3 linked regions of the Saccharomyces cerevisiae S288C genome follow. The gene in region 1 interacts genetically with each later gene. Each region holds a gene or a part of one and is shown in the gene's direction. Other genes may lie near its edges.

The links. A genetic interaction does not mean that the proteins touch.
Region 2: mutations in APL5 (region 1) and COG6 together harm fitness more than expected from each alone (negative genetic interaction), as found in Saccharomyces cerevisiae (6 studies listed by BioGRID).
Region 3: mutations in APL5 (region 1) and COG7 together harm fitness more than expected from each alone (negative genetic interaction), as found in Saccharomyces cerevisiae (4 studies listed by BioGRID).

The regions. Positions count from the first base shown.
Region 1 is NC_001148.4:174,270-179,521, forward strand, and holds APL5 (Apl5p), read left to right. Parts: upstream 1-1,953; coding exon 1,954-4,752; downstream 4,753-5,252. Other genes in the region: 60S ribosomal protein uL30 RPL7B, read left to right, coding at 1-433; OXR1 (Oxr1p), read left to right, coding at 774-1,595; DDC1 (Ddc1p), read left to right, coding at 5,008-5,252. UniProt on the Saccharomyces cerevisiae protein: Part of the AP-3 complex, an adaptor-related complex which is not clathrin-associated. The complex is associated with the Golgi region as well as more peripheral structures.
Region 2 is NC_001146.8:544,640-553,876, reverse strand, and holds COG6 (Golgi transport complex subunit COG6), read left to right. Parts: upstream 1-1,889; coding exon 1,890-4,409; downstream 4,410-9,237. Other genes in the region: YNL040W (putative alanine--tRNA ligase), read right to left, coding at 1-497; YNL040C-A (uncharacterized protein), read left to right, coding at 1,319-1,399; BOP3 (Bop3p), read right to left, coding at 4,587-5,777; YNL042W-B (uncharacterized protein), read right to left, coding at 6,507-6,764; YIP3 (Yip3p), read right to left, coding at 8,000-8,506, 8,586-8,609; LAP2 (bifunctional aminopeptidase/epoxide hydrolase), read right to left, coding at 8,899-9,237. UniProt on the Saccharomyces cerevisiae protein: Acts as a component of the peripheral membrane COG complex that is involved in intra-Golgi protein trafficking.
Region 3 is NC_001139.9:484,880-492,131, reverse strand, and holds COG7 (Golgi transport complex subunit COG7), read left to right. Parts: upstream 1-1,584; coding exon 1,585-2,424; downstream 2,425-7,252. Other genes in the region: RPN14 (Rpn14p), read left to right, coding at 176-1,429; calcium-transporting ATPase PMC1, read right to left, coding at 2,690-6,211; YGL006W-A (uncharacterized protein), read right to left, coding at 6,599-6,709. UniProt on the Saccharomyces cerevisiae protein: Acts as a component of the peripheral membrane COG complex that is involved in intra-Golgi protein trafficking.

The DNA.
Region 1 (5,252 bases):
GGTTCTACAATTGCTAAGATTGACAAGAATCAACTCTGGTACATTCGTCAAAGTTACCAAGGCTACTTTGGAACTATTGAAGTTGATTGAACCATACGTTGCTTACGGTTACCCATCCTACTCTACTATTAGACAATTGGTCTACAAGAGAGGTTTCGGTAAGATCAACAAGCAAAGAGTTCCATTGTCCGACAATGCTATCATCGAAGCCAACTTGGGTAAGTATGGTATCTTGTCCATTGACGATTTGATTCACGAAATCATCACTGTTGGTCCACACTTCAAGCAAGCTAACAACTTTTTGTGGCCATTCAAGTTGTCCAACCCATCTGGTGGTTGGGGTGTCCCAAGAAAGTTCAAGCATTTCATCCAAGGTGGTTCTTTCGGTAACCGTGAAGAATTCATCAATAAATTGGTTAAGGCTATGAACTAACATTATTCCGTGTGGCAATAATCTCAATGTATAATAAATAATATTTCTCTTCATATATATGACCGGACTCGTAATAGAATAATTGACTGGAACAATAGCGCATATTGCTTTGCTTCTATACGTAGTTGAGTTTTCACTCACGTACAGCTAGAGAATCTCACATAGGAGTATCCCTGTAGTTAGTTCCGCGCGGTTCGATCACGGATATACTTTCAACAATGGCAGTATGAAAGCCTGTTATAAAAAAGAAGGAAACAATAAACGAAGTGCTTTTTTGCCTCCTAAATTATTCAATTTGACAACTGATTTCCAGCCATTCATTATTCAGTGAGGAGCGACAATGTTTGGAGTCAAGGATGCTATATTCAAGATTAAACGTTCCATTGCAGGCACAGATTCTTCTGATTCCACTGCTTACACAACGGCAAGTGAATCTTCACCTCAATTAAAAGATTCCCATAACCCCTTTCGAAATAAAACGACATCCGAGAGAACTATAGTTGAGGAGGGCTCTCTACCACCGGTGAGATTGAATGGCTACTTGCCCTCAACTAAAAATAAACTTCTTACTCCTGAAATGTGCGATGAAATAAGAACATTAATGCCCACGAGGATACAGTTGTACACCGAATGGAACCTTCTATATAGCCTTGAGCAACATGGGTCTTCATTACACTCCCTGTATAGTAACGTTGCTCCAGATAGCAAGGAATTTAGAAGAGTGGGGTATGTATTAGTAATAAAGGATCGTAAAAACGGAATCTTTGGAGCTTACAGCAACGAAGCTTTTCATCCTAACGAACATAGGCAATACACAGGAAACGGGGAATGTTTTCTATGGAAGCTGGATAAAGTACCTGATGTTAATATATCCGAAAAAGAAGAATCTGAGCAAGAAGGTAAAGAAGGTAAGGAGGAAGGGGATAAAGAGGAGAGATGGAGGTTTTCAGGTTATCCTTACACTGGAGTTAACGAATTTGCTATATACTGTACATCTGAATTTCTTTCAATGGGTGCAGGTGATGGTCATTATGGTCTTTTATGCGATGACGGCCTACTCCATGGTGTTTCAAACCCTTGTCAAACATATGGCAATGAAGTTTTGAGTAAGGAGGGCAAAAAATTTTCTATAGTAGCTTTGGAAGTATGGCGTGTAGGATAGTGTCATCTATTTAAATATCATACTATGTATTTATGAATGAGAACCTCATGATTGTAAACGAGAAACACTCCTTTAAATAGCCTAAACCGTATCCTCAGTAAGAAAAACTAGAAAATACGGTCCTAATACTTGCATGTGTTTTATGAGTGACGAAATAAATAGGAAAAGAAAAATATTTTAATACAAACTATCATTTATTGAAATGCTCTTTTTCATTTTCTTCATTAAATCATTGTATGCAGGCTGGGAAAAACAACCTTGCAATCTCCCAATGTGAAAAAAAAAAGAAAATGAAGATACGAACATACCTGAAGTGGGAAAGGCAGTTGCCACAACCAGAAGAGCATAACATATTGTCATGACCTCTTTATATGCACCTGGGGCGGAGGATATTCGGCAAAGGTTACGTCCTTTTGGGTTTTTCTTTGAGAAATCACTAAAGGATTTGATTAAGGGTATTAGGTCTCACAACGAAACACCAGAAAAACTGGATCAATTCTTTAAACAAGTATTAAGTGAATGCCGGGAAGAAGTGAACTCTCCAGATCTAAATTCTAAGACCAATGCCGTTCTTAAATTGACCTATTTAGAGATGTACGGTTTTGACATGGCTTGGTGCAACTTTCATATCTTAGAGGTTATGAGCAGTAATAAACTTCAACAAAAACGTGTGGGGTATTTGGCTGCATCACAATCTTTTTACAAAGATTCTGACATTTTGATGCTTGCAACTAACTTGTTGAAAAAAGACTTAAAGTATGACGGAAACAATGATGTTGTTAAAGTTGGCATTGCTTTAAGTGGTCTTTCCACTATAATTACACCCTCATTAGCAAGAGATATAGCTGATGATTTGTTCACTATGCTAAACAGCACAAGACCGTACATAAGAAAGAAGGCCATTACCGCACTATTTAAAGTTTTTCTGCAATATCCAGAGGCTTTGAGAGATAATTTTGATAAGTTTGTTTCAAAGCTAGACGATGATGATATATCTGTGGTTTCTGCCGCTGTCAGTGTTATTTGCGAGCTATCAAAAAAAAACCCCCAACCATTCATCCAGCTTTCACCTTTATTATACGAGATATTAGTTACCATTGACAATAACTGGATAATCATTAGATTATTGAAGTTATTCACCAACTTATCACAAGTGGAACCGAAATTGAGAGCCAAGTTATTGCCGAAAATTTTAGAACTGATGGAGAGTACTGTTGCAACTTCTGTGATCTATGAATCTGTCAACTGTATTGTCAAGGGGAATATGCTAGAAGAAGATGATTTTGAAACAGCAATGGCATGCCTGGAAAGATTGCACACATTTTGTGATTCTCAGGATCCAAATTTGAGATATATTAGCTGCATATTGTTTTACAAGATCGGCAAAATCAATACTGATTTTATTTCTCGGTTCGACCAACTGATTATACGCTTACTCTCCGATGTCGACGTTTCTATAAGATCAAAAGCAATTGAATTGGTTGAAGGTATTGTTGATGAGGATAACTTAAAGGCAATTGTCCAAACATTGATGAAGCAATTTGTAGATGAAGATGTGGTTATCCTACAAACTGGAAGCATCGTATACGAAAAATCAAAGAGAATTCCCATAATAATTCCAGAAAATTACAAGATAAAAATGGTGAACGTCATTATATCGATTTGTTCAGCTGACAACTATTCCAGTGTTAACGACTTTGAATGGTACAATGCAGTAATAATGGACTTGGCGATGCTCTGTCAAGACATATCTGATAAAAGCCTTGGATCAAAAATTGGTGAACAGTTTAGGAATTTGATGATAAAAGTTCCTTCAATGAGAGAAGTAACCATTGCTAATATTATAAAGCTTATTTCAAATGACAATATTAACAAACAGTTGCCTACCGTATTGAGAGAATGCATTTGGTGTCTCGGAGAATTTTCTACCCTAGTTGAAAATGGTAACGACTTAATAAAAATCATGACTGAGAATATCAGTTATTATTCTCATAGTGTACAAGAAGTTTTAATTTTAGCACTTGTTAAAGTATTTAGTAATTGGTGTAATAACTTTCAGGAGGATAAACGCTTTGAAATTAAAATGGTGTTAAAAGAGCTAATTGAATTTTTTGAAAATTTATCTTATTCGAGTACATTCGAAGTCCAGGAAAGAAGCGTAGAAGTTTTAGAATTTTTAAGACTAAGTTTGGAGGCTTTAGAGGAGGATACGGAAGGTCTACCAATGCTACTGAGCGAAGTCCTGCCTAGTTTTTTTAACGCCTATGAACTCGCACCAATTGCGCGTGGGACTCAATTGAAGTTAGCAGTAGATGAGAATCTTGATCTAGAAACTCCATTTTTGACAAAGGAGGCAGCTGATGAACTCTTAGATGAACAAAAAAGTGACGCCATCAGTGATTTAATGTCTGATATCTCAATGGACGAGCAAGTTGAACTAAAATTCGTTGATGATTCTGATACTTCGTATGAAGAAAAGGAAAAATTGGATGATTTTGAAAATCCATTTGAGATTGAGAGAGAAAAGGAACGGATGTCAAATCCTTATTATCTAGGTGAAGAAGACGAAGAAAGAACTAAGAACTCTAAAGATTTGTTGGACTTGAATGAGGAGGAAAGTAGTGATAAAAAGCCAGAAACTATTAGATTAAATAGAACCGATAATTCGTTGAATTCTCTAAGTTTATCTACAACTGAAATCAGCAGAAAGAAGAAGAAGGGAAAGAAGAAAAATAGGGTTCAAGTCTTATCCGATGAACCTGTTATCGAAGCCGCTCCCAAAAGGAAAGATGCATTCCAGAAACCCCATGATAATCATTCAACTCAAAATCCTTTGAAAAAGGACAAGATTAATCTGAGAATGCACTCTCAACTTGAAAATTTTGATTTTTCCAATTTTGGGCAATCGAGTAACGCAGGAAGAGGATCGCAGGAAGAGGGCAACCTTAGAAAGGAAGACGAGTTAGAATTAAGTCGTTTAGAGGCCAATCTTATTGTAAAAGATGAAAAGGATAATTTAAGTGATACTGAAGAAGTTATAGTTATAAAAAAGAAGAAGAAAGGGAAAAAGTCAAAGTCAAAAAACAAACTAAAAACGAAAGCAAAAAATTCTCCAGAACCAAATGAATTTCTTCGAGACCAAAGCACTGACATTTAACGATAAAAAAATCGAAGTCGTGAATTCTCAATGACAGCGATTACGTACGTAAACTATAATTAATTTAAGTATTTTATTCTGCATAGTATATTATTGCGGTGCACTCAATTTGCCGAAAGAGACGGCATATTTAATAATGACGCGAATGAATCAAAGGCCGCCAAAGGTAATCATAGACCAGAGATGATTTGCAAAATTATTTGACATACTATTGCTAGTGTAACAATAACACAGCATAACTTTGCTTAGACATATATGTCATTTAAGGCAACTATCACCGAGTCGGGGAAGCAGAATATCTGGTTTCGTGCGATATATGTGTTATCTACAATTCAGGATGATATCAAGATTACAGTGACAACAAATGAGTTAATTGCTTGGTCAATGAACGAGACAGATACTACTCTTTGTCAGGTTAGGTTTCAGAAAAGCTTTTTTGAGGAGTATGAGTTTAAACCACATGAGATTGTATTTGGAGAAAATGGGGTTCAAGTTATAGA
Region 2 (9,237 bases), on another chromosome or scaffold:
TTGAAATAGTCGCTAGGCTCTAGAACAGGTTTTTTCTTTGTGATGATACCACCCATCGACCAAGATACAGTGTCTACTTTGTAGTTGCGTTCCAGAATGGCACTTAACAAGTGTTGACCAGTATGTTGTTGCATATAATCCATTCTCTTTTGCTCGTCCACGGCCACTTCCACTGTTGTTCCGGGCTCAATGTAGTCATTGACATGATGCTTTGCATGTAAACCGAAACGAGAAACGTGTGAAACTAATATCTTCTCAATTTTCGACGAATTACGATTCCCTTCAACAATTTTCAAAAAACCAGAATCACTTGGTTGGCCCCCACCTTCGGGGAACAGAATAGTATCTTGTAGTTCAATCTCATAACCTTCAATCTCTCCCTTTTTATTCTTCGTTGGTTCGCAAGAAACAACCAGTGTTTTGAACCCATCGAAGAGAAATGAGTTCCTCTGGCAGGCTAAAGCGCCGACCTTGACAGGCGTCATAGGTGTGGGCATGATAACTTACCTTTTAATCAATTTTTGACGCTGTTGTGTGCTTTCGTCGATATGCGTCACCAGGATGTCTATTCTTAAGTTTTTTTTACACGATAAGGATAAAAAATAAAAAGATGTTAATGATGGGTGGTTGGTTCTTTTACTAATGAAAAGTGTAAGCATATTTCGTACAAATTGCTTGCAATAAGTCACTTGTACAAAAGTAAACTGATATAAACGTCTTCCTAGTGGGCTGAATTTCAGAATTTACGCGAGTGATACATGAATTTACTGATAATCGATGGTATTCGTTATTTGATAAGGTGGTATTATTGAATATACAGAATGCATTATATGCGCTCATTGAGGATATAATAGTCATGACAGGAAATCAATGTCCTACGTAATAACACTATTATTTCTTCCTTTGCATTGCACGTTGTTATGCATTACTCTGTTACATCATCAGTTCTTGTATTTCGGCTTTTACTAGATTTGAGATTGTATCTCATGGCTTATGTCACTTTCTTACATTGTGTGTGATAGGTATACTAGTAACATGGCCACTAGTCAATAAGCAACGGTCAATTCTTATTCCAGCAGTTCTTAATATGCATGGAATTAGTGAAGAATAGGAGCCGATAACTTTACTTGTGCATTTGTATTAAATTTACGTCCTTCTTATTTATTTCGTCCACGTACGTTACTACCCTTTTTCCAGTAATTTTTCTTTAACTTGAAATGGTCTTGTAACTCCTATTACATTCCGGTGCCATATCAAGAGTAGCCTGGTAATATAGAAAAATTCCAGTAGCTTAACAAGAGCCTATTTTTAATCAAAAATGCCGGAGCAAAAAGCCAACTGTTCACCAAACGGTAACATAACAGTTGATAGTATGATTATGTCGCTAGGATCTTCTTAAAGGATAACACGAATTACGAAACCAATAGAGGGATATTAGAAGGATCAGCTGAAACCTAAAGATCAATAATATAACAGGATTATAAGTGACAACATATAGTATTAAAGAAACAAACCGCTATATGATTGCATGTATTACCACCTCTCTTTTGTTGATACGCATATCCCTGAGGAAAACTCTCAGCACATTCCATATACGAGGGAAAAATTGGATTTCAAAAACTGGTATCTAATCCTACCGATGCGTATGTTAGTCGAAATCTATAAGTAAATTGTTAATGATTGCTTTCTGTTCGTTTATACTTCCATTTTACTTATATATCACCTGCCGTCTCAGACGACAAAATACATACAACTGGCGTAATGACGCTTTCATACAAAATATACATCTAAGGTAGTAATTCATTCTAGTAAATATTCATCCGAAAGCTGTAGTATCTGAAGTATATTGTACATTATCGTAACAAAATCCCCAGTGAAGTTTACTCACAATGGATTTCGTTGTAGACTATCAGACCTACGCAATGGCGGATACTGCCACGCCAGAATTACCAGAACCTGAGCCAAGACTAAACTTAACCTCAGATGCACAGTCACAGCCCACCGGTAAACTAGATCTACAGTTTAAGTTGCCCGACCTTCAACGTTATTCCAATAATAATGCAACTTTGCCAGTAGATAATGATGGTGCTGGTTCGAAAGACCTACATAAGAAAATGACACATTACGCAATGTCTTCCATTGATAAAATACAGCTTTCAAATCCAAGCAAACAATTAGGGCAAAATTCCCAGGATGAAAAACTATCGCAGCAAGAATCTCAAAATTTCACGAATTACGAGCCAAAAAACCTTGATTTATCAAAATTAGTATCCCCGTCAAGTGGTTCCAACAAAAATACCACAAATTTGGTTCTTTCGAATAAACTATCCAAGATATTGAACAATTACACATTGATTAACTATCAGGCCACAGTCCAACTAAGAAAATCCCTAAAGGTTCTAGAAGAGAATAAAGAGAGATTGTCCCTTGATGAACAAAAGCTCATGAATCCTGAATATGTAGGTACTTTGGCAAGAAGAGCATTGAGGACTGATTTGGAATCTCAACTGCTAAAGGAACATATTACGGTACTTGAGGAATTCAAACCTATCATTAGAAGGATTAAACGATTATCTTCTTCCGTCGAAAAAATACAAAGAACGAGCGAAAAATTACTAAGTAATGAGACAAATGAGGTTCCAACAAATAACGTGGTACTTCAGGAAATAGATCAATACCGTTTAAAGGCAGAGCAGTTGAAGCTGAAAAAAAAAATACTGTTATCTATAAGGGATAGGTTTACTTTGAATCAGGTAGAGGACGATGTAATCACCAATGGTACTATAGACAACATCTTTTTCGAGGTAGTAAAGAAAGTAATCAATATTAAAGATGAATCAAGTTTCTTGCTGACGCTTCCTAATTTGAATGCTGGAAATGCTTTGATAATGGGAGTTAATGAAATTTTAGAAAAGACAAACAAAAAAATCTTCAATTATTTGATCGATTTTTTATATAGTTTTGAATCCTCTTCAAATTTATTAAATGACCATGGTACTACTGAACAAGAAAGCTTAAACATTTTTCGGAAGAGTCTGGTCTTCCTGTCAAGTGATCTAGAATTATTTAATGAGTTGTTGAAAAGAGTGACCACACTGAGATCCAAGAGTATTCTGGATGAGTTTTTGTCTCAATTCGATATGAATTCAACTACCTCTAAACCCATCATATTATCGGCACACGATCCAATTAGGTATATTGGTGACGTACTAGCGTCCGTTCATTCCATCATCGCAAATGAAGCTGATTTCGTGAAGTCACTATTTGACTTTCAGGATGAAGACTTAAAAGATACCCCAATTTCTATACTTCAACAAAACAAGACATTCTTGAAAGGCATCGACAACAAATTGCTGAACGATATCATCCAGTCGCTATCCAATTCGTGTCGTATTCGTATCGAGCAAATCGTGAGGTTTGAAGAAAATCCGATCATCAATTTCGAGATTGTGAGGCTGCTGAAACTTTACAGAGTTATGTTCGAGAGAAAGGGAATTCAGGACGATAGTTCTATTATTAACAATTTAAAGTCGTTGGAAGACATTTCCAAAAACAGAATTATTGGATACTATGAAGACTATATGAAGCAAACAGTCATGGCGGAAACAAAAAATTCTTCAGATGATTTACTGCCACCAGAGTGGCTATCAGAGTATATGAATAAATTGGTAGAGTTATTTGAAATTTATGAAAAGACACATGCTGCCGAAGATGAGGAATCAGAAGATAATAAATTGCTCTCATCTAAGAATTTACAAACAATTGTAGAACAACCAATAAAAGATGTTCTGTTAAAACAATTGCAAACATCTTTTCCTTTGGCGAAAAAAAATGAAAAAGAAAAGGCATCATTGCTAACTATAGAGATAAACTGTTTCGATTTAATTAAATCTAGACTTCAACCTTTTGAGGGATTGTTTGCACAAGATGATGACAGCCGGAAAATCACCATCTGGGTTTGTGATAAACTGAAGGAATATACTAAGCAAATGCTAACTTTACAAATAAAATTCCTATTTGAGAATACAGGTTTAGACCTTTACAGCAATTTGGTCAATATGATTTTTCCTGTGGACTCAGTAAAGGATGAATTGGATTATGATATGTACTTAGCCCTGAGGGATAATTCATTGATGGAATTAGACATGGTCAGAAAAAATGTGCATGATAAGTTGAACTATTATCTACCTCAGGCGTTAACAGATGTTCAAGGTAATTTACTATTTAAATTAACGTCACCAATGATAGCTGATGAAATATGCGATGAATGTTTCAAGAAGTTGTCGCTATTTTATAATATCTTCAGGAAACTGTTGATTCATTTGTATCCGAACAAGAAGGATCAGGTATTCGAAATTTTAAATTTTTCCACTGATGAATTTGACATGTTGATAGGTATTGATCACTGAGAGATGAACAACTTCTGTTTAAAATCGTCTCACAAAGACGCATCTTGCCCATAATGTAGCGATGCTCTATATCTCAAATATTTGTTACCTTTTTTATGTTGGTATGCGGCGGGTATCTATATAATATATGGGTGTATACATACGTAGGGGGAACATCAAAAAGAAAATAATGATCACTCAAGTACTATTTAAAATCTTGCCTACAGAATTATCCTTTGTGATGGTTCTTACGGGGCTTTCGTTTCTACTACTGCTTTCACTGCATGTTCTGTCATCCAAGTCATCGTGTACTTGACGTCCTTCACGAACCGATTGCAGCATATTTGGTTGTTCCTTCATATTGGATTCAATTGGTTTGTCATGTGAGGTAAGTGCTACGGACACGTTAGAATGTATAGGGGATGGTGATCTCTGTACTTGTTTTTCTTTTGCTTCATCGATAATACTTAAATCGATCACTCCAAAGGAGGATGTGGATCTTGCACGCCTATGCTTTTTTTGAACCATTCCAGGTTTCCTTGGTATAGTATGTAAATTGTGCGTGTGGAGATCCTGTTGCTGTTGTGGAGGAGGAGGCAGTGGTTGAGATAGCGGCTGCTGTTGGTCTCTATTGAAACTTAGTATGGATGTCATTGTAGAAGGAATATTAGGATTGGTGAACTTTCCTATTGGAAGTGACAAGTTACGGCTGTGAAGAGAAGTCGGCTTCTTGTTTAAAGGCGATTCTTGAGATTTTGTACCAGAGGGAATTCGCCTAGCCACATCTTCCTCCTTAATGGAAATATTGTCATTCAACGCAGCAACTGCGGATGCACCTATTCTTGCAGGAGAATTAGCTCTTCGTTGTACATTTGTAACTGTGGAGTGTGATATACCGCCGGTAGAGGATGATGCTGGAAACTTATATGGAGAGGGCTGTCGACTCATTGGAGTTGGTGACACTGTGTTCATATTTAGAGGTTTTAATGACTTCATAGAACCATTCAATCTGGGCAGATTTTCTGAAGATTGCGTGCCTTCTGTATTGTTATGTGGTTGATTGCCCCCTGCCTTCATCGGCGAAGACGCCGGTACGCCATGGTCGGTGTTGAATAGTTTATGTATTTGATTTATGGGCAGACCTGAACTGGAAGCAAGCTTAAACAACTCTATCGAACGATTCAAGTTTTCAAGTTTATAATATTGCTGCTTAGTCTTTTCTTGTTCTATTTTCAAATCCATAGCTTTCATTAAAGCATTCTCAGAAAAAGCCCATTCCGATACATTAGTACCAAATATTATATCTAACAGCGATTTGCTCTTGTTGACATTATTATGACTATTATCATTGCTTTCCTTTGGCTGGCTGTAACTGTTGAAAGTACTCATTGGTCGCCTGTGCTCACAGATGGTTGCAAGTTTTCCATGTAATGTAATTTGCTACTTATTTTCCTACTGCACGCGCAAGTTTTCTCGTTGACTGTTATTAAGAAACAAATGAACAAACAACAACTGCACTAGAAGAGCAACAAGACTAGTTTCCGCTTTCCTTCTCTTTTTCTTTTTTAAAAAAGCCAATACTGCATTTGCAGCTTACTGAAGAGGCCAAAAGAAACAAGGCTTGATGATAGTCAGTAATCTTCCTCTGGACCTCTTCGCCGAGTTCTTCGAGAAGTTCCCAATAAGGTAATCGAAACGAGAGAAAAAAAGACGAGCAAAAAATTTTCTCAATTTGCCTACTTTTAAGGGTTCGGAGAGGAAGGTTTATTTGTAAATCATGACATTATTGGGCGAAGCGTAAGTGGCTTTGAAGAAGAGGAATAGCTACTCGACCAAAACTTGAAGATACTATCATACCCAACTTGGAGCGCTCAGTGACTAGTCTGCCTTTAGTGCTGTCCTGCCTCCCGTCATGCCAAGAGCCGTACTCTCCCCTTAAGGGCTGCTATTTTTTTCCGGTAGGTGTTCGGAATCCCCTTTCGAGAAAAGTAATTAATCCGAGAATTCCTTATATTTCTTACCAGAAATAGTAAGCGAAAAGGACGTTGAACTATAGCAGATCAGCGCGTCTTCATAATCCCAGAAGGAGGCGGGAAGAACAACCCCCCCCATATAGTTTTACTGGTCTCCTTTCAATCTGTTTGTTCTGAACCTACTTTCATTCTTTTGGCAGATATATGTTGCAACACGTACATAGAGTGAGTTTACTTCTTTCAGCTTGGAGAAGCATGAGAGGTTAGGTTGATTGATGCTAAACAAAAAAATTCCGCCCTGATGGTGAAAAAAGATAACGGGGCGAGCTGGGAATTGAACCCAGGGCCTCTCGCATGCTTTGTCTTCCTGTTTAGGCAGGAAGTCGCCCAAAGCGAGAATCATACCACTAGACCACACGCCCGATTATTTCGTGTGGTTGTTGTATTACGGGCTCGAGTAATACCGGAGTGTCTTGACAATCCTAATATAAACAGTCTTAGGGAAGTAACCAGTTGTCAAAACGGTTTATCAGATTAATTCACGGAATGTTACTTATCTTATATATTATATAAAATATGAATCATACTAAGTGGTGGAAGCGCGGAATCTCGGATCTAAACTAATTGTTCAGGCATTTATACTTTGGGTAGTTCAGCTAGGGAAGGTCGGGTTTTGTCTCATGTTGTTCGTTTTGTTATAAGGTTGTTTCATATGTGTTTTATGAACGTTCAGGGTGACGTATTGTCATACTGACATATCTCATTTTGAGATACAACAGTGGTTGTGTCATGAAGTTAGTCAATACTAGCCGTCTTAACAATATTAATACCTGTCAGAAGAGCAGCTTGATTGACGGAATGTTACTTATCCCATATAATCTATATAGGATCTAAATCTGACTAAAGGGTGGAAGCATAGATCTTCGGAGCTAAACTGATTGCTCAACTATTTATACGTTTAGGTTCATCAAGGCAACCGGGGCTTTGAAAATACTTAATCTTGTTTTTTTCGCAACAACTGTTTCATACGTGTTTCATACGTCTTGTACGTTTAGGTTGATGAATCTGGTGATGCAGGGGTATTTCATTTTGAAGTGTAGTAGAGGTCTTCTAATGAAAACTCGGCAGGGCCCTAAGCTCAAACTCTACCTCATCTACGTTGACCCTTTTTACCTTCTAGATGCCATCAGTTGTTAATAGTAGTAATGGAATACGATTTGCCAATCAATCTTACAATCGCATATAATTCGTCACTGTTGAATATCTGCGACGTACACCATCTAATCACTTCGCTTAGTCGATATAACCATTTGTTTGAAAAGATGAATTGATTCTAATCTTGCCTCTCTCGGGTTATGTTATTATTATTTTTACGTTTTGGCACGTGAATCTTCAGTAATTGATTGCACGCTTGATAAACGAAAAAAACATAAACAAATAAGGTAAGACTGCATTGTAAATCCTAGGAATGAGAAAGAACAGAGAAGCTAACTGCAATTATGAATGGTGTCTGTATACAATTAAATACTAATGTTGACGGAGAAAGAGAATAAAAGACAAGAATTAACTAAATATTGAAGAAGAGTAAAATACACAATAGAAAAGAATGACTCCTTTTCCCAACACTTGTAGGAGTGTTCAAACAGTTTCTTCATCAAATACAGTTTCGATGGGTTTTTCCATCAATGATGCATGTCCGAAAACGCTGACGGCAGAAGCACCGATCAACCATAGCAAAGTTGAGATTGGCGAAGCTAAGAAACCTATTGGCACAGCAACACAAACCAGTCCGGTGTATAGTTGGTTGGTCTTGAAAGAACCAAATGGAGTTACGAGCTCCTCACCCTTTAGTTTGTTTATACCAACAATACCAGCTACGACTAGAACAATAACAAAGAGTAGCAACAAGTTTGTTAATAATGTGTAAATGCTCAAACAACCAATAATCAAACCATAGTTACTGGAAAAGTACTTCAGGTTATACGCCACTCTGGATTGAACTTCCCCAAAGTTTTGAGGTTTGGAAATTTTCTTGAAATTGAAAAATTCTTGCGGGGTGCGAAGGGTTGCTAATTTAGATTGCAAGGATTGGAACTCGCTCTTAATATTTTCCATGGAGAAGTTTTGAGTGAAACGTGAAACTTGCTATAGAAATATAGAAAAAAGGTTAACGCGTTAGTATAGTTTTTCAATGATGCAAATGTGTTTACAATTTAGAACTTACGGCTAAAGCTCCTAACTGATTCATTATTGGAGTATTTGATGTTATTTTATGCGTATTTGACGGCTGATAGTTCCAAACTCAGTGTTCAAAGCCCTGCAATATTGAATTCAATCTGAATTCTTTCGATTTGTATTTATATTCGTTGTTATTATTTATTTTTTCTTTTTGCCTCGATTGCATGTGACAAAAGTGCAAAATTCGTATCGCACGACACAGAACTCCGCCACTAATTAGAACCAGAGAAGTAGCAATGAAGGCTCATTAGTAGGTTATATTTAATTGTTTACGTATTCATGTTACGACACGTCCCTTTTCAAAGACCTAAATCTTGTTTCACAAGAGCTTTACAGATTGGATGATACGTGTCCTTGAATTTGTCGAAAGTTGCAAGTGCCAATCGACGGTCTACAGAGTTTAATAGTCTGTAACCGGGACGGACAAACTTCATTCTACCTACAGTTCCCAACCAATCGGCCAAATGCTTATATTCTTCTTGCAGCTTGGCAAAGATCTGAAATTTGAACATCTTGAAAACAACTTCCGCGTTCTGTGATTTAACAATGTTATCTTGATAGATATCTAACAGTGCCCTAGATGCCACGGGAAACTTGGCCCAGTCAAAATCTTTTGGTTTCTTGTTGGAATGGCCATT
Region 3 (7,252 bases), on another chromosome or scaffold:
TGGGAATAAGGCTCAGTTAACCTTATTAACTTTTGTGATGTTTTTAACATGACATATTACAGGCGTCAGGATGGGCGAATAATCTAGAAATCGGCAAAAGAAGCTTCGAAAAATTAAGTTTTCAACCCTAAGAGCAGAAAGTAAAAAGAAATAGCGAAGTACAATAGAAACGACAATGACTAAGACCATCACAGTTGCTCATATCCAGTATGATTTTAAAGCTGTTCTGGAAGAAAATGATGAAAATGACGATGAATTTTACATCAATGTTGACAAAAACCTAAATGAAATCAAGGAGCATAAGATAGTAGTGTTAGGAAATAGCAGGGGTGTAGATGCAGGCAAAGGAAATACATTTGAAAAGGTTGGCTCCCACTTATACAAGGCGCGGTTGGATGGACATGATTTTTTATTCAATACTATCATAAGAGATGGTTCAAAGATGCTCAAGAGGGCGGATTATACTGCCGTAGACACAGCTAAACTTCAGATGAGACGGTTCATATTAGGCACTACAGAAGGCGATATTAAAGTATTGGATTCAAATTTCAACCTTCAAAGAGAAATTGACCAAGCTCACGTTAGTGAAATAACAAAACTAAAGTTTTTTCCAAGCGGTGAAGCTTTGATATCTAGTTCACAGGATATGCAATTAAAGATCTGGTCAGTAAAAGACGGCTCAAATCCTCGCACGTTAATTGGACACAGGGCGACAGTCACAGATATTGCCATAATAGACCGAGGAAGGAATGTGCTCTCTGCCTCTTTGGATGGTACAATTCGCCTTTGGGAGTGCGGCACAGGAACGACAATTCACACGTTTAACAGAAAAGAAAACCCGCATGATGGTGTTAACAGCATAGCGCTGTTCGTAGGGACAGACAGACAATTACATGAAATTTCTACTTCCAAGAAAAATAATCTAGAGTTTGGAACATATGGAAAATATGTGATTGCTGGTCACGTTTCTGGTGTTATTACTGTACATAATGTATTTTCCAAAGAGCAAACTATTCAACTCCCAAGCAAGTTCACATGTTCATGTAATTCATTGACAGTCGATGGCAATAATGCAAACTATATTTATGCCGGATATGAAAATGGAATGCTAGCTCAATGGGATCTAAGATCACCGGAATGCCCAGTTGGTGAGTTTTTAATTAATGAAGGCACCCCAATAAACAATGTCTACTTTGCAGCCGGAGCCTTATTTGTATCTTCTGGATTCGACACCAGTATTAAGCTTGACATTATTTCAGACCCAGAAAGTGAACGGCCCGCTATTGAATTTGAGACGCCCACCTTTTTAGTTTCCAATGACGATGAGGTCAGCCAATTCTGTTACGTTTCTGATGATGAATCAAATGGGGAGGTGCTTGAAGTTGGAAAAAACAACTTCTGCGCTTTGTATAACTTAAGTAATCCTTAACCTCTTTCGTACTAGTAACTTTTTCAAAAAAGTTCACTTCGCTGCATGAGCTTGGCGTAATGCGCTTTGAGGGTGATAATGCATTTTATTTCCATATGAAATATGTCTAAAATAGAACAATTCACTAAGAACAAGAAGGCCAAACTAAGCAGAATATGGTAGAGTTGACAATTACGGGTGATGATGATGATATATTGAGTATGTTTTTTGATGAGGAGTTCGTTCCCCATGCATTCGTTGATATACTCTTATCAAATGCCTTAAACGAAGATCAGATTCAAACGCAATCAGTATCCTCATTGCTATTAACCAGGTTGGATTTTTACACAAAGAACCTTACAAAAGAGTTGGAAAGCACCATATGGAATTTGGATAAATTATCTCAAACGTTACCAAGAACTTGGGCATCTTCTAGGTATCACAAAGAAGCAGAACAGAACGATTCCTCATTGTATTCTACTGAATCCTTAAAATCATCGAAGCTTGAATATTACTTAGATACGTTGGCAAGTGCTGTAAGAGCATTAGAAACAGGAATGCATAATGTAACTGAGAAACTAAGCGATCTAGATAACGAAAATAATCGCAATACCAATGTGAGGCAACAACTGCAAAGTTTAATGTTGATTAAGGAGAGAATTGAAAAAGTGGTATATTACCTGGAACAAGTTAGGACCGTTACGAATATTTCGACAGTTAGAGAAAATAATACAACCAGCACGGGGACAGATCTTTCGATAACAGATTTTAGAACATCATTGAAAGCATTAGAGGATACAATCGATGAATCTTTAAGCTCTGCGATTGATAACGAGGCTAAAGATGAAACAAACAAGGATTTGATTGGGAGAATTGATTCACTTTCTGAACTGAAATGTCTGTTTAAAGGCCTAGATAAGTTCTTTGCTGAGTATAGCAACTTTTCGGAGAGCATAAAATCAAAAGCACAAAGTTATTTATCAACCAAGAATATTGACGATGGTATGATATCATAATCGGTGATAAAAACAAAAAATTTGCAATTAACAAAAGAAATTTATAGCATGTTTAAATTCTTATTTCTTTTTACCATTTCCAGTCCTTTTGGTCCACTTGTAATGCATAAAAGGGTAAAAAGGAATTTGTTTAGGAGGACATGCTATTTCAGATAGTTTCTTTTTATTGATTATATAATATAGTGTACAATTTTGAAAATATAACTATTACACACATCTTTTCATTTGGTCACTTACATTTGTATAAACATATAGAGCGCGTCTATTAATAAAAGGCGGTGGACTCTGGACTATCAGATTCCTCCAACAGCGCTTCTTCATCGTCGTGTTTTCCAGTATGGTTTTTTCTGAGGAACTCGAGTCCAAATACGTACTTGAATCTTTGAACGAAAGCAGCCGGAAATACCTTCACTGCTACTTCATCGGGGCAGATTCTCACTAGCACCCCCATGATTAGAGACAACATACCACACAGTACCGCGGTTATCCACATTGATTTGGTTTGTCTGGCAATAGAAAATGGTGCGCCACCAAAAAACATGATTAAAACTTGACAGCTGCCAATGATCGCCATGATCGTGAGAAAATAATAGTTTCTACCCAAGTCTTGGAAGAAATTCAAATTGGCGGCAGAAATCCTGCCTCTCCAGTTTGATATACCATCACCTTCATCTAATTTTCTCGATACTAACATGGTAAAAAATTGCAACCAAACAAAAGTGTTGAATGTCATGGCATTCAGTTGCTGCTGTTGGTGACTTGTTATTTCATCTTCATGTTTCTTGAAGAATAACTCTGGCCCGTAAAAATGCAAAATGAAAGTAACTATCAACTGCAATGTAGCTTGTGATAGAATCATTTTCCAAGTTGACACAGAAATCAAAGAAGTTGAGCGGCCCCTAGGTTTTCTGTCCATGATATTTGGATCGGGTTTATCAGTGGCTAAAGCTAAAGCTGCTAGAGTATCCATGATTAGATTGATCCATAACAGTTGGACCGCCGTCAGTACTGATGTTTCATCACTAGATGCAACGGATGAAACGAACGTTAAAATCACTGCGGTGATATTAACAATTAATTGAAACTGTATGAACTTTTTTATGGAGACTGAAACACATCTTCCCCACTTAATAGCGTTGACAATAGCTGAGAAATCATCAGTCATCAAAATAATGTCAGAAGCCTCTCTGGCAACCTCCGTACCGGAAATACCCATTGAGAAACCAACATCAGCTAGCTTTAAAGCTGGAGCATCGTTCGTACCATCGCCAGTGACCGCAACAACATCTCCCATCCCCTTCAATGTTTCTACTAATAACCTTTTATCCTCAGGCGAAGACCTTGCTAAGACCCTTAAATTTGGCAGGATTCTTATACGTTCGTTTTTCGTTAACTTTCTGAATTCAGTGCCTTCCATTGCAGAATAAGCCTCTGAACTAATATCAGTAGAAAGAATCGCACAATTCCTCGCGATTGCTTTTGCTGTTAATATATTGTCACCAGTAACCATACGCACAGTTACACCAGCACGTTGGCACTGTTGTACTGACTCCCTAACGCCTGCACGTAAAGGGTCTTGAATCCCAAGTAAACCATCTAGAATTAAGCCCTTTTGACTGTTAAATAGCAAGTCAAGAGCAGCTATATTTGGTGAGTCTTTATCACGCAGCTGTTCAGGGGGCCAGCTATCACATTCGCAGAAATCTTTGTGGGCAACACTTATGGCTCTGAGAGCATCGGACGCAAGATTTTTGATTTCATCATCAGTTTCTTTTTTATTGTCCTCATTGATTTCTTCCAAAGTATCATCTGAATTCCTCTTGTACGAACAATTCTTGGAAACAATTTCTGCTGCACCTTTAATGAAAAACCTGTAAAATGGTTTTTTATTTTTGCCTTCTTTGTACTTTACCACTAAGCCGGCCCATTTACGAGAACTTTCAAACGGAATTGTTTGAACAACTTTTTCGATATTAAACTTTTCCATCGGTTGATCTCTCAAATATTGCAATTCTCCCGGTTGTAATCCTAATGATAATCTTGCCAAACTGAGTAAGGCTGTTTCCGTTTTAGAGCCAATAAAGGGTTCTTGCCTACCCTTGTTGACATTTTTGAATAATTGATCCTCGTCATCTTCCCTGTTGCCTTTTTTAAAAAACGATAATCTAGATTTACACTTATCTAAAAAACTCAAATTTTTTGACATATTTTTACTACCATTTGTATTTTTATCGTTTTTCTTATAATCTCTGTTTTCGAAGGCGGTAGAATTCAGGACAATATTGGCTAATAAATCATTTCTCAAGGATGACGAACAATTTTCTTCAAAAACTTTCTTAGAATTCAGCTTCCTTTGTTCGCTAACGGGCAACGATTTACTATCATCAAATTTAGAATTGCCCGGGAAGCCACGAACGACAGTCATGACATTTTCTGTCAAAGTGCCAGTCTTATCAGAGCACACTGCAGTAGCAGATCCCATCGTTTCACAGCTTCTTAAAACCCGTACTAAATTACCGTCTTTTGTCATTCTTGTTGTTGCAAACGCTAAGGCCAAAGTTACAGCTAATGGTAAACCTTCCGGAACAGCCACCACAATAACCGTGATAGATGTGATAAAAATGTTCATAAATTTAGAACCCTTTTGAGCGGGATCTAGATCATGGAACCTGCCATCCTCAGGTATTATGTAAAATAAGTACCTAGTGAAAAGGACCAAGAAAAGAATTATAGCAGACACGCAACCGTAAACGGATATATTATCAGCCAATTGGCTCAAATGTAACTGTAATGGAGTACTTTCAGGTTCGGCATTTAATGAAGTCATGGTTTGACCGTAAACTGAGTTTATACCCACGGACGTGATGACACCCCTGCCCAAGCCAGAGAGAATTCTGGAACCTGAAATCAACATACAATCAGCAATCTTGTTACCGTCTTCGTTAACGTCACCTATATCTAATGGTTTGCTATGGTTATGACTATCGATAGAATTAAATTTTTTGAAATCTCTTAATGAGTTATCCACCGGAAATTTCTGTATTGTGTTAGATTCACCAGTGATGGATGATTCATCTGCCTCACACTTCCCTGATATCATAACACAATCAGCGGGGACAACATCACCGGTTTGTAATGAAATGACATCACCGACTAAAACGTGGTGAATGGAAATTAATATTTCCTGATCATTTCTTATGACTATAATTTTACGGTTTTCCTTCTTTTTATTTAGCTTTGCAAATTGCAACTCCTTCTGGTAATCGTTAGCGGCACTCACTAGAACTACCACAAAGACCGCAATCATGATAGCAACCCCTTCAATCCAGTCAACTTGCTTAATTTTATTTCCTTCAGGATCATACTGTGGAGGTTGCATCCATAGTTCGTATAGACCTAAAACAAAGGAAACAACAGCGGCGACTGTCAGTAATTGCATTGTTTTGTCATTAAAAGCAGCCCATACTAATTGTAAAAAAGACTTTGGTATTCTTTCAGGAAGTGAATTATCGCCATAATTTTTATACCGGTTTGTCTTTCGATAATTTGATATTTCTGGAAGAGAAATGCCTGCATTTTTATCTGTTTTCAAGTATTTGAAGAGGCTGTTAGACTCATATCCAAATAATCTGACAAATGATCTTATTGATTTAGGGTTATGAAGATCCGAAAGTTGACTTTTTGATAATTTGAAATTATCGTAGACTCCGTTCTCATTTCCCGTATACGATGGTTTGTTATTTTCATTATTCGCTAGTAAAGCAGAATTTTCGTCTTGTCTAGACATTATTTTTTTTGTTACGCACACAGTTTTTTTTTTTTTAGAACCACTTTTCTAAACTTTATTTGTTCAAGTTTTATTTCTTTAATTCAATGTCGTATATATGTGATACAATTCTCTTAATACACTTAGTTTTTACTGGAGGCGCATGAGTTTTTTGACGTTTTCTTAAGCCTTTCTATTGAATGAAAATTACCAGAAAAGCCCCTTCTTCCTCAAATTTATGAAAAAATGTTTATTCTTAACCTAAGCCTTCTCAATTGAATCGTGCCAACCTGACTAAAATGTAGTTTGGGGAAGTGAAAAAATCTGAAGAGATTATTTAATTTTTCGTTAAGCCTGCAATTTATTTTGGTAATAATTGCTAGAAAGAAATCGAATATTTAACGCAATTCAAATAAAGCCTTTCCTTGGGGGGGGGCTGATACTATTTGAATGTTTTTGGAAGGCGCCCATTAAATGCAATGCCAAGTGGCGATGATAATGAATTATGAAGATTAGCATTTGTTTAAAAAGCGTGGAGGGCGCTTCTAGGGCCTGAGCCTCCTAATTTTCTTTTCCCCCTGACAAATGATGGAGAAGCTTCTTTGCCGGGTAAAAACCCTTTTTTTTTATCTTTTCTGCGGGCGGATAAAGCTGTTAGTGCCACATGTTTCTATACAAACTGTATTAAAGTAAAAAAATTAATAGACAATTTAGGCCCCTCAAATGGGTAAAATAGAACATATATCAGTATGCACAGCTCACTATTTTAAAAGCGGCAGGCTTGGAGCTGTAGGACCACACTACTGCGACAAAAAAAGATAAAGTTGTGTTTTATTTATGTTTTGCCGTAAGATCGATACTTTTCTTATTCTCATCAAGAAAACACAAACTGCCAAGAACTAAGAAAAGAAGAGCCGTAAACAATGCTTGTAAACCGAAGTATGAAAAGAAAAACTTGATAATTAAATCATCCCCTTTGGCTCAAATATTTATTTTGTATTATTCATGCTTGATTAGTTTAAGAGTGAACTTTACTATCTTAATTTTATTTTAGCCTTTTCA